3 linked regions of the Saccharomyces cerevisiae S288C genome follow. Changing the gene in region 1 together with any one later gene gives a genetic interaction. Each region holds a gene or a part of one and is shown in the gene's direction. Other genes may lie near its edges.

The links.
Region 2: mutations in AVT7 (region 1) and HUL5 together harm fitness more than expected from each alone (negative genetic interaction), as found in Saccharomyces cerevisiae (one large-scale study listed by BioGRID).
Region 3: mutations in AVT7 (region 1) and PPT1 together harm fitness more than expected from each alone (negative genetic interaction), as found in Saccharomyces cerevisiae (one large-scale study listed by BioGRID).

What each region holds. Positions count from the first base shown.
Region 1 is NC_001141.2:197,356-201,084, reverse strand, and holds AVT7 (Avt7p), read left to right. Parts: upstream 1-1,681; coding exon 1,682-3,154; downstream 3,155-3,729. Other genes in the region: KTR7 (putative mannosyltransferase), read left to right, coding at 1-595; YIL086C (uncharacterized protein), read left to right, coding at 624-932; AIM19 (Aim19p), read left to right, coding at 966-1,439. UniProt on the Saccharomyces cerevisiae protein: Probable amino acid transporter of unknown specificity.
Region 2 is NC_001139.9:236,356-241,692, forward strand, and holds HUL5 (ubiquitin-ubiquitin ligase HUL5), read left to right. Parts: upstream 1-1,997; coding exon 1,998-4,730; downstream 4,731-5,337. Other genes in the region: GPI10 (putative glycosylphosphatidylinositol-alpha 1,2 mannosyltransferase), read right to left, coding at 1-1,764; YGL140C (uncharacterized protein), read right to left, coding at 4,998-5,337. UniProt on the Saccharomyces cerevisiae protein: Non-essential E3 ubiquitin-protein ligase that specifically catalyzes 'Lys-29'- and 'Lys-48'-linked polyubiquitin chains.
Region 3 is NC_001139.9:736,064-739,808, reverse strand, and holds PPT1 (protein serine/threonine phosphatase), read left to right. Parts: upstream 1-1,605; coding exon 1,606-3,147; downstream 3,148-3,745. UniProt on the Saccharomyces cerevisiae protein: Protein phosphatase that specifically binds to and dephosphorylates the molecular chaperone Hsp90 (HSC82 and HSP82). Dephosphorylation positively regulates the Hsp90 chaperone machinery.

The sequences.
Region 1 (3,729 bases):
GAATCATGGTCAAGTCAATAATGAGGAAGATTTGGAAGGTATACAATATCTCGTTGAAAGGGCCCGCTCTAAGGTGCCAATGCTAGAGGATTCCCTTGAAGGGGAAGATTACAATTTGTGTCATTTTTGGAGTAACTTTGAAATTGCCCGCGTTGATTTATTCGACAATGAGATCTATAACGCCTATTTTAAATTTTTGGAAGAGTCTGGAGGTTTCTGGACTGAAAGGTGGGGTGACGCGCCAATTCATTCAATTGGGTTGGGAATGACCTTGGATCTAGAAGACGTTCATTATTTCAGAGACATTGGTTATAGACACTCATCGCTGCAGCATTGTCCGAAGAATGCCTTACAAAGCCAAGAAAATCTCAACACTTTCGATGAAGGTTATAACTTCGGATGTGGATGTCGATGCGTGTGCCCCAAGAAAGGTGAAGACATCGAAGACCACTCCACCCCTTGCATGGATATTTTTTTTGAATTGCTTCACGGCAGGGAATATGAGAAGGAATTCCCTGGTTGTTACAAGCCCTCCATAAAGGACAAAGACGTGATTGAAGAGATCAGAAGAGAAAATTTTAGAGTAATTGAATAGATACAGTGTTTTCTATACATTTATACGTATGAACAAAATTATAAAAGAGTCTACCAACTTCTCCAGATATCTACGAACTGGCGGTGTACTCAACAGTCTTCGGACCACATCTAAGTTTGTTTACATTAATAACAATTCATATTTAACTCATGGAGGTTTTGATGGCAATGTAGCTACTATTTTCAATATTTCAGAATTCAATTACATCAATTCTTCGGCCAAGGGGTCACTTCTAACTTATAAAAGCATTACCTTCTTTTGTCCAAGATATTTCAAGAAACGGCCTTTAGGGAGACATGCGAAGGGAAAAGGCAAATCTGACGAAAAGATTCTATAAACTACGATTTCCAATATACTTAACACACAAGAAATGTCTGCTAAACCCGCTACTGACGATGCCAAAGATGAACTTCTATCACCATTTCGCCGGCTATATGCATTGACAAGGACACCTTATCCTGCGCTCGCAAACGCAGCACTATTAGCATCCACTCCGGTGCTATCCCCAAGCTTTAAAGTGCCTCCAACGCAATCTCCTGCCCTCTCGATACCAATGTCTAGGGTATTCTCTAAATCTTCTACTGCCAGAATCGGTATAACTACTAAAACCGCCCTTTTCTTTTCTACAATGCAAGCTATAGGTGCATACATGATCTATGACAACGACTTGGAAAATGGGGCTGGCTTCATTGCTACATGGTCCGCCTTATATTTGATTGTAGGGGGCAAGAAGTCCTTTAGTGCGTTAAGATATGGAAGAACTTGGCCGTTGGTGCTATCCTCGGTTTCATTGGCCAACGCAGTCCTTTATGGCCAACGGTTCCTTGCTACCGGATTCCAGTGATGCTTACATCTATTAATGTCTTAATATTTAATTTTGTATCCTCTGTATTATCTGTATGAACCACGTGACTTAACATGAATGGATTTGCTTCCACATCTTTCACCTCTTATCATACGTTCATAACTTCTTCATCCGAAGTCAGATTTGACCCTCAAATAGATAAGACGCCAAGAACAAGCGTCAACGGAAAGGCGAATTCTACAATCAGGACATAGCATCAAAGAGAAAAGGAATTCTAAGGTATGGAGGCTACATCAAGTGCTCTTTCGTCTACGGCGAATCTCGTTAAGACAATAGTTGGCGCTGGTACACTTGCCATTCCGTACAGTTTTAAAAGCGATGGTGTTCTGGTAGGGGTTATTCTTACATTATTGGCGGCGGTAACATCCGGTCTGGGTCTCTTTGTGCTATCGAAATGTTCCAAGACCTTAATTAATCCAAGAAACTCTTCTTTCTTCACATTATGCATGCTCACCTATCCCACTTTGGCCCCAATTTTTGATTTGGCAATGATAGTTCAATGCTTTGGTGTGGGCTTAAGTTACTTAGTTCTTATTGGTGATCTCTTTCCAGGACTGTTTGGTGGTGAAAGAAATTATTGGATAATTGCATCAGCTGTAATCATCATTCCCCTATGTTTAGTGAAGAAACTAGATCAATTGAAGTATTCTAGTATTCTAGGTCTTTTCGCGCTAGCATACATATCAATTCTGGTGTTCAGTCATTTTGTGTTTGAGCTGGGAAAGGGTGAATTAACAAATATATTAAGAAATGACATATGCTGGTGGAAAATTCACGACTTTAAAGGATTATTATCAACTTTTAGCATTATAATTTTTGCTTTTACGGGATCAATGAACCTATTCCCCATGATAAATGAATTAAAAGACAACAGCATGGAAAATATCACTTTCGTTATCAATAATTCGATATCCTTATCAACAGCACTATTTTTGATCGTTGGTTTATCAGGATATTTAACCTTCGGTAATGAAACCTTGGGTAATTTAATGTTGAACTACGATCCTAACTCAATTTGGATAGTAATTGGCAAATTCTGTCTTGGCTCAATGTTAATTCTTTCCTTCCCGCTTCTCTTTCATCCGCTGCGCATAGCAGTTAACAATGTCATCATCTGGATTGAGATCACTTATGGTGGGGCAAATCCCGAAGAGGACCCACAAGTTTCGGAATACACTCGTGCTTCCAACCTAAGACCAATTAGCATGACTGTGGAAGATCCAGCCCAGCCCAGTGATGCACTAGACGCAACTTCTTATAACGAGCAAGAATGTTTACTACCTAACGGGAACTTTGATAATGGTTCAATTGAAAGTCAAGAGAACAATAATGATGAAAGAGGGACTATGGCGGTCGCCGGGGATAACGAGCATCATGCGCCATTTGTTAAGTCTAGATTTTACTGGATTACTGCATTATTACTAATAAGCATGTATACCTTGGCGTTGTCTGTCCAGTCATTTGCACTGGTTCTTTCATTTGTAGGGGCTACAGGTTCAACGTCTATTTCATTCACTTTACCTGGATTATTAGGTTACAAATTAATAGGCTTGGATTCTTTGGCTATTGGGAAGATGATTCCACCAAAAGATAGATTTTACAAAAGGTGCAGCTTATTGCTAGTCTTCTACGGACTATCTGTGATGTTTTTGTCATTGTATGTAACTGTATTCAACCGTTCAGATGAAGCCTAAATGGACCAATAGTCATGCAAGAGAAGTATAAAACAGTATATAGTAAATAGTAAATAGAATCAGAGACAGCAGACTCAAAGTTTTATGCTTAACGCGATCATCGACTAGTTTAATACTTTATTCTATGGCACTTACAAAAAGGTATTACCCTGCTAAACAATAAAGATCCCTGAAAAAATGGAGCAGGCTCAGAGAATGTGACTTCATGCGCTTTAGTGGTAAAAATACTGCCTAAATAGTCCCTAAAAAAAAAAGAATAAAAAATAACTCCGAAGCGGGGAGTCGAACCCCGGTCTCCACGGTGAGAACGTGATGTGATAGCCGTTACACTACATCGGATTTGATTAGCTTGATTTGAATAGAAAAACATGTTACCATATCAGTAAATATGAATGATCTTTATTTATATATATATGTCCGGAAAATTGTAGGAATAAAAACCTGTTGGAGTAAAAATCAACCATCATCTATCAACTAGTAGTTACACTATCAATATATTATCATATACGGTGTTAAATGGTGACGCAAGTTATGAGAAGCTGTCATTGAAGTTGGAGGAAGCTGAAATGCAAGGA
Region 2 (5,337 bases), on another chromosome or scaffold:
CGCAAGAGAGTTGAAGAATCTATTGTATTCAATGTATGATGAATCTTTCAGGAAATCCTTTAGAAATGCGTTTTCCATGTGCTCGAAAACAACCAAATATGTTGGCCATTCGTGGCTGTATGTTTTACCTGGACTCCTTAGATCCTTACGAAAAGGCGGTGGGAAATTTTTGTAAATGAATGCCGATATATCGTCATACAAATGGTCACTTTCATCCATGTAGGTCTCTAGTTTGGAGTAAGCCTCTGGGTCTCCAAGTAAATGCAATGGAGGGTTACAAGTAATCGACCACAGATCTTGAATGTCACTGCGGTGTAAATAGCTTTGACCAGGTGTCGAATGACAGGGCATTATGAATCCCAAACTATCTATTTCTGGCTCTTCATGTAAAAATTTCATAACTTCGATAGATCCAGATTCGTGGAATGTGTCCAAAAGTAATGCGATGAACACCGACACGAATGGAACAAGCCAGAGTAAAGATTTTAGGCCAGATAGTCTTTTCCAATAATCTCTATCAAGTCTCAAAAGGCCAAATGATGATATTAATATGAAAAGTGGCTGTAATGGGAAGATGAACCTAAATTCCTTATGAGGTAACGTAGAGTACACCAACAGATTCAACAAGATAGTGAGTTTCACTTGGAAAAACGGGTTTAAATACTTCTTTGGGAAACTCCTTTTGCTTAGTGGAAAAAATAATCCAAATGCAAAAGCGGGAATACTTGCACCTAATACGATAGGTAAGCTTTGAAAGAAATGAAAATGCCAAGGAGCTACCCCATAAAACTTTGATAATGGTGTTGTGAAATTGAATTTTAGAAATCGGAAAAAGGGAAACGTTACTTTTTCATAAAAATACATGTCGATAATTGCATTTGCAGTAAATACCAGAAAAAAAGACCGTAAAACTTTGGAAAATGTGATGAAAAGTAAATGATACTGCTTTTTGCCTACCAAGTTTAATATTAGGGAAATGCTGGGAATTACCCAAATAAGTCCACTGCTGGGTCTTTGCAAACATGCCAGAAATGCAAAAATAAGCGACTTAGTAAAAGATGACTCTTTTATCATTTGTCCGCCTGTCCAGTCCCAGTAGTAGAGGGCAATAGAAGTTAAAATCATTTCAAAAGAGTTGATGAACGTTCTTGTAATAAAAAAGCAATTAAAAAAATTAGTTAAACTTAAAAGCAGTGCAAACTTCGTAATCTCGGATAAACCGCTGCGTCTCTCCTCTTCCTCCTTCTCGTTTCTCTTATCAAGTGTAAGTAAATAGAGCTTTTGAACAAATCTTACGATATAATATTCCCCTATGGAAGCTAGTACTGCCATAACTATTTTTGGCGCATATATCACACCATAATATTCGAACGACCGTGTGACATCAAAAGGAAGCCTCTTCAAGTCTTCAGCGACTTGCCAACTTAACTCATATTTCGGCAGTAGTAAAATTAATAAATCAGACCCTATCGTTGAGAGAAGAAGAAGTGCATAGTGAAGAAGGATTGACGATAGAGAAACCAATCTATAAGTCAGCTCAAAAATCATCGGAAATAAATAGCTACGAACTCCGAATTTCCATTCCCAAGTCAGTTCACCATACTTGAAAGCCTTCCAATGTGCCGGCTCCAATGCTTGCCAAAACTCATCAGCCTGAAAGAAGGTTCTCGTCAGAACTGCATTCAGTACTCTAAAGGCTAGAAAAACCCAAAATATTTGGGTCCGTCCTAGTTTAGGTTTTATTCTATGAACCTCGTGAGCCATTGAAAGTTAGATATTATGTTGGATTACACAATCCTACACTATCTTAATGCCTTTTATCTTTTTCCGTTCCTCATGGTGTGAATGGCTTGAATTTCTTTTACCTTAAAAGTTCGCCTTTTCCGCACTATAACGATCTCACTTAAACTTTTAAGGATGACTCGCCTATAACTTCATTCGAGTGGCAAAGCGTTATAATTTATCTCAAGCAGCATTTCAAAGGATTCTGACTTAAAATGTTAAACTTCACCGGTCAAACAAGGAGAAGAAATGTCAATTTAGGGAATAGGACTCGAAATTCAAAGAAGGATTTACTGGAAAAGGCCAAAAGGGAACGTGAAAGGAGAGCACAAGATAAGCTCAAAGAAGACGCCAGTAAAACCATTCAAAAAAGCATCAGAAGACATTTTTCAAATGTGAGACTCTTCAAAAACACATTTACTAGTTCGCAACTTGTTCATATGATACCAGCTTACGGGGGCAAATTAATCTATTACATTTCTCAATATGATCTGCAGCAACTGCTAAAATTATCTCATAATTTTTTGAGTTCTTATCCTAATTCTTTAGGCAACAGACAGCTATTGAGCTTGTTGAAGCTATATCAAGATGATGCACTGGTGGCTGAAACTCTAAGCGATCTTAACATGGACTGCCCTACAGTTGACGAATTTTTAGATAGTCTATCCGTTTATCTCTGTCGGGCTTCCTTTTTGAGTTATTCCTCAGCTTCTAAGCTAGCTGATGTCATAGAAGCATGGGAAGTAATGCATAGCAGTGCCTCCATTAGTATTTTTTCGATATCGATAGGATCTTACGAAAAACGGCCATTTGCACTACAGTTTTATTGCATACTTGCCGAAAGAAACCTTTTGCCCCAACTTATCAACACAAATCCGATATTATGGGATAACATGGCAAAGACATATTCACACTGTAGTAAAGGTGGCCAAAAAAATATCGCCAAGCTACTCATACCAAACTTCAACAATCATATTGCTCCATCAGTCTTGCGTAGTGATAACGACTATGTCTTGAAATTTTATGAAAAGGCATTTATAGACGAAGTTATTGCTACTACTGCAAATTACGTTTCTGATGAAGATCACGTGAAGAATTTGATGTGCTACATTGCAAGCTCTCCCAATCAAAGCTGTAAGAATTCTGTCCTTATTACCTTACTGTCTAACAAAGACTTCGTGAGAAGGCTCTCATGGGAATTCTTTCACACTAAATTCAACGCCAGCAAGACTGAGGCTCACCCCCTGTTTTCAGTTTTGGCACAGCTTATCGACATGCACCTTTTAATATCGACAGATCGGGAGTTATTAGACTACAACTCTGTGATACCTATCGAAGAACTAAAGAAATTTACATCCACGTTAAAAGATTTTACTTTCCGACAATATTGGGAACTACCTAAAAGTGAAAGGAACCCTATGTTAAAGGAAGCAGTACCACTTTTGAGCAAAGTCTACGAAAGGGACTCAAGATTGCACTTTCTATCCACGGAGAATAATCCAACCTATTGGGAAAACTCTGAAAAGCAATTTTTAAATTTGAGATTTTACGAAGAATTACAGGAGTACGAAGATCTGTATAGAGAACACTTAGAAGAGGAAAGTGATGAGGATATGGAAAAGGAAATAGATCTTGATAAAGAAAGGCCTCCTTTGAAGTCTTTATTATTGAACAAAATGAAAAAGAGATTAAAGTCATCATTACGTTTCCGAAAGTTGGAAATACTTTTGGAATTACCATTTTTTATTCCTTTTGAAGAAAGGGTGGACTTATTTTATATGTTCATCGCACTGGACAAGAAGCGATTATCTTTAGATGACGATCACAACTTGATCAATATGTTTACCCCCTGGGCCTCCACCGGTATGAGGAAGCAATCCGCTATCATCTCTAGGGATAATGTCTTAGAAGATGCTTTCAACGCATTTAACTCTATAGGAGAAAGGTTCAAAGCTTCATTAGATGTTACTTTTATTAATGAATTTGGTGAAGAAGCTGGTATTGATGGGGGCGGCATTACCAAGGAATTTTTAACTACTGTGTCTGATGAAGGATTTAAAGATCCAAAGCACGAGTTATTTCGGACGAATGATCGCTACGAATTATATCCTTCTGTTGTTTATGACGCTACGAAACTTAAGTATATATGGTTTCTGGGAAAGGTTGTAGGCAAATGTCTATATGAGCATGTTTTGATAGATGTATCTTTTGCTGATTTCTTTTTGAAAAAATTATTGAATTACTCGAACGGGTTTTTATCTTCTTTTTCTGATCTGGGAAGCTATGATTCGGTGTTGTATAATAATTTGATCAAATTATTGAACATGACCACTGACGAGATCAAGTCTTTAGATTTAACCTTTGAAATAGATGAGCCTGAAAGTTCCGCAAAAGTTGTTGACTTAATTCCGAATGGTTCAAAAACGTACGTGACGAAGGATAATGTGTTGCTCTACGTTACTAAAGTAACGGATTACAAATTAAACAAAAGATGCTTCAAACCAGTTTCGGCATTCCATGGAGGGCTCAGTGTTATCATTGCCCCACATTGGATGGAGATGTTTAACTCTATAGAACTACAAATGTTAATATCAGGTGAGAGAGATAATATCGATTTAGACGATCTGAAATCTAACACAGAATACGGGGGTTATAAAGAAGAAGATCAGACAATTGTTGATTTTTGGGAGGTTTTGAATGAGTTTAAGTTTGAAGAGAAATTGAATTTTTTGAAATTTGTCACGTCCGTTCCGCAAGCTCCTCTGCAAGGCTTCAAGGCATTAGATCCAAAATTTGGTATCAGAAATGCAGGGACAGAGAAATACAGGCTGCCTACGGCATCTACCTGTGTTAATTTATTAAAATTGCCAGATTATAGAAACAAAACAATTTTGAGAGAGAAATTATTATATGCAATAAACTCAGGCGCCAGGTTTGACTTATCATAATTCCCAGAAGATTAGGGAGGTAATTAATTAATAGGCAGATTTCTAGTTCTTATATATTACTATAGATAAGGAAATTATACGCTTGTATGCAGAGATAATTTAAGTTTTGCTTTGTTCGCCACCATTCTAGTTATGACCTTTATCTATCATTCTATTTTTTATTGGAAAGGCTTTACAAAAAACAAACAGTAAAAATTCTTTAAGCGAAGTGAAATCGACAATGAATATGAAATTGGTAATTATCTTACATTAGGACTTTTCAATATCTTAGTCCTTCTTTTCTTTCATGTGACTTAGCACCATTTTCAAAGCTAATGGCAAATCATCATCAGAGCTTTCATCATCATCGTTCAGATAATTAGGATCCGCATTACCAAGGGTGCTGTGTCTGCTTAAGCTTGAAAGTTGGCCGGAGGTAGAAGTAATGGAAAATGCTCTATTTCTAAATGTCTTTGGTAAGCCATCCGCGTTTTGGCCTGCTTTATGAGAAGCAATCCGTAATAAATTCAACGCTGCCGGATTATCATTTTTTTCGTATGCCACTGGACATTCCGGCTCATAACTTCTTGTGGAATCAGGAGAAATTTGAGATTCATTAGAATTTGTA
Region 3 (3,745 bases), on another chromosome or scaffold:
TTTCAAGAAGAGAGGCTGGATGAGGCTTTACTGATTTTCTGGAGAAATCTTGCCATGAGTCAATGCTAAGAAAATTTGCAAAAACCCGCGCCGTGCGGCACCCATATGTGAATAAAGCTTTACTAGTAGATAGAAAATGTAGACCATTCCTGCAGGGTCCATACTACGGACGTATGGCTTTGTGAATCGTTTCACAAAGCCAAAAGAATGAACCCAATACGCAAGGTCCAGTTATGCAGAGAGCAGCAGGATAGCGGCTGTTGCACGCAACGAGACTGTTCTCTCATGTTTTCCACGATTTGATATATCCCCCTCTTAGTAAATACAGAGCCGTTCGAACGGTTTCTTTAGTAAAATCCAGGCTCCACCTTGATGGGAGGCATGATGAGTTCCAATTAGGAATGAGCAGGAGCTCACTTTAATCTTGTTATCGCAATGTGGAGTTAGCCTTAAGAACGTGTCCAAACCTCTTATGTATTGTTTTGTTCGTAATTTGATCGCTTTGTACGTGCAAATCGCTCTCTGCCCACAGCAGGAAGGACCACATAAGTGAATAAGTAAGTGGTGGTTCTATGATTTATCGGGATCTTATATTTGCATTCTAAAAAGTAAATGGTCTCTAGCGGGATCGAACCGCTGATCCCCGCGTTATTAGCACGGTGCCTTAACCAACTGGGCCAAGAGACCTATTTTTTTCGGAAGTCACTGATTAATAGTTTGATAATACAGGTGTAAAGAGTAGTATTTTCATGTGTCGCATTGTGTATGACAACATATGTGCGTTCGAAATAGATATAAGGCTTCTAATTTTCAAAGAAGGCGGTATCGTTAAGTATATGCATATGTTACGGTTTCACCTTGAGGATTAGAACTCTAAAAAAGGAAATAAGAGTGCTACAAAAAATGACGATTACTTCTTTTTTCGTTCTATGATATCGCCGCTCATTGTTCTATTACATCACCAATCCTTGAAATTTCAGCTTCATTGAATTGATGATGCTTTTAATAGAAACCATTTATGTCATATTTTGAGAGCCATACATGATAATATTCTGGTAATATAATCATAAGTTATTGGTTGTAGTTGGCGTAATATTCCAGGATTACGAATATGTATTTTATTTTACGCCCGCCATGTTGTATTTTTTTATCATAAAATTTTACACCATGACAAATCTAATACCACTGATGCAGTGTACTGTTTATACTTAAGAAATAGGTAAATTTTGAGATAATTGTTGGGGTTCCACAATACTGTCTGTCATCTTCTGTTATTCTGAGTATTTTTTTTCCTTTTAGCAGTTTCTTGTTCGTACCTTGGCCACTGAAAATTCTGGCTGAGACAATTATCAGGAACACTTCTAGTCCTCAAAAGTTCCTTCTCATTTTCTTCTTTATGAAAATATTTTTTCAATCATTGTATGTATGTATTTCTTTTTCCGTTAAAACGCTAAACCAGGGAAAAAAACGACGGCGGGAAACTGAAAAATTTCACAGATGAGGTAAGAAAATTGGCGAAAACAGCTTATAGAGCTTGACACAGAACTTTAACAATTTTAGAGGCAAGAAATAACGCTTGCCTTGGTATAATCAAATATCTCGAATATGTCAACACCCACAGCAGCAGATCGCGCGAAGGCACTTGAAAGAAAGAACGAAGGAAATGTTTTTGTGAAGGAAAAACATTTTTTAAAGGCCATTGAAAAATATACAGAGGCGATCGATTTAGATTCTACACAGTCTATCTATTTTTCGAACAGAGCATTTGCTCACTTTAAGGTAGATAACTTTCAAAGCGCTTTAAATGACTGTGATGAAGCCATTAAACTGGATCCCAAAAATATCAAAGCTTATCATAGACGTGCATTATCCTGCATGGCTCTGCTAGAATTTAAAAAGGCTAGGAAAGATTTGAATGTGCTTCTAAAGGCGAAGCCCAATGATCCGGCTGCTACTAAGGCGTTACTTACATGTGATAGGTTCATTAGAGAAGAAAGATTTAGGAAAGCTATCGGAGGCGCAGAAAATGAAGCCAAGATCAGTTTGTGTCAGACTTTGAACTTGAGTTCATTTGATGCTAATGCAGATTTAGCCAATTATGAAGGTCCAAAGTTAGAATTTGAACAGCTGTATGACGATAAGAATGCCTTTAAAGGTGCAAAGATCAAGAACATGTCTCAAGAGTTTATTTCCAAAATGGTTAACGATCTTTTCCTAAAGGGAAAATATTTACCAAAAAAGTACGTTGCAGCTATTATCTCTCATGCTGATACCTTATTTCGTCAAGAGCCATCTATGGTAGAACTAGAAAATAACTCTACTCCTGATGTTAAGATATCAGTATGTGGTGATACGCATGGCCAATTTTATGATGTTTTGAATTTATTTCGCAAGTTTGGTAAAGTAGGTCCTAAGCACACTTATCTATTCAATGGTGATTTTGTCGACCGTGGTTCTTGGTCGTGTGAAGTTGCACTATTATTCTACTGTTTGAAAATATTACATCCAAATAATTTCTTTTTGAACAGAGGTAATCATGAGAGTGATAATATGAACAAAATCTATGGGTTTGAAGATGAGTGTAAATACAAATATTCACAAAGGATATTTAACATGTTTGCACAAAGTTTTGAGAGCCTTCCATTGGCTACCTTAATTAATAATGATTACCTTGTAATGCATGGTGGTTTACCAAGTGATCCTTCAGCAACTTTGTCTGATTTCAAGAATATTGATAGATTTGCCCAACCACCTAGAGATGGCGCCTTTATGGAACTTCTATGGGCGGACCCACAAGAAGCCAACGGGATGGGTCCTTCTCAGCGTGGTTTAGGACATGCTTTTGGACCCGACATTACAGATAGATTTCTAAGAAACAACAAATTGCGCAAGATTTTTAGATCTCACGAGTTAAGAATGGGTGGTGTGCAATTCGAGCAGAAGGGTAAATTAATGACAGTTTTCAGTGCTCCAAACTATTGTGATAGCCAAGGTAATCTTGGGGGTGTTATTCATGTTGTACCAGGCCATGGTATTTTACAGGCTGGCAGGAATGACGACCAAAATCTAATAATTGAGACATTCGAAGCTGTTGAGCACCCAGATATAAAACCAATGGCCTATTCTAATGGTGGTTTTGGTTTATAGTCATGCCTTTTCTATTTTGCTAGATTATTATCAAAAGCAGAAAGTCTGGGAATAAAAGAAACTAATATGAGCTAACGAAGTGGAGGAAGTAACTTTTTTTTTTTTTTTATAAATTTATACATCTTTCACAAAAAATTTCATAATGTTTATTGTCATGTATCATATCATAATACCTCTTAGAAAAATAAGAAATATCTTCGTTGTTGAACAACATTATTCCCTTCAGCCAGGAAATTATTTAAAAAAACAACACTCACGATGGGGGTCGAACCCATAATCTTCTGATTAGAAGTCAGACGCGTTGCCATTACGCCACGCGAGCTATTGAAATTACACTTGTGTTGAATTACGGGCTCGAGTAATACCGGAGTGTCTTGACAATCCTAATATAAACAGTCTTAGGGAAGTAACCAGTTGTCAAAACAGTTTATCAGATTAATTCACGGAATGTTACTTATCTTATATATTATATAAAATATGAATCATACTAAGTGGTGGAAGCGCGGAATCTCGGATCTAAACTAATTGTTCAGGCATTTATACTTTTGGGTAGTTCAGCTAGGGAAGGACGGGTTTTGTCTCATGTTGTTCGTTTTGT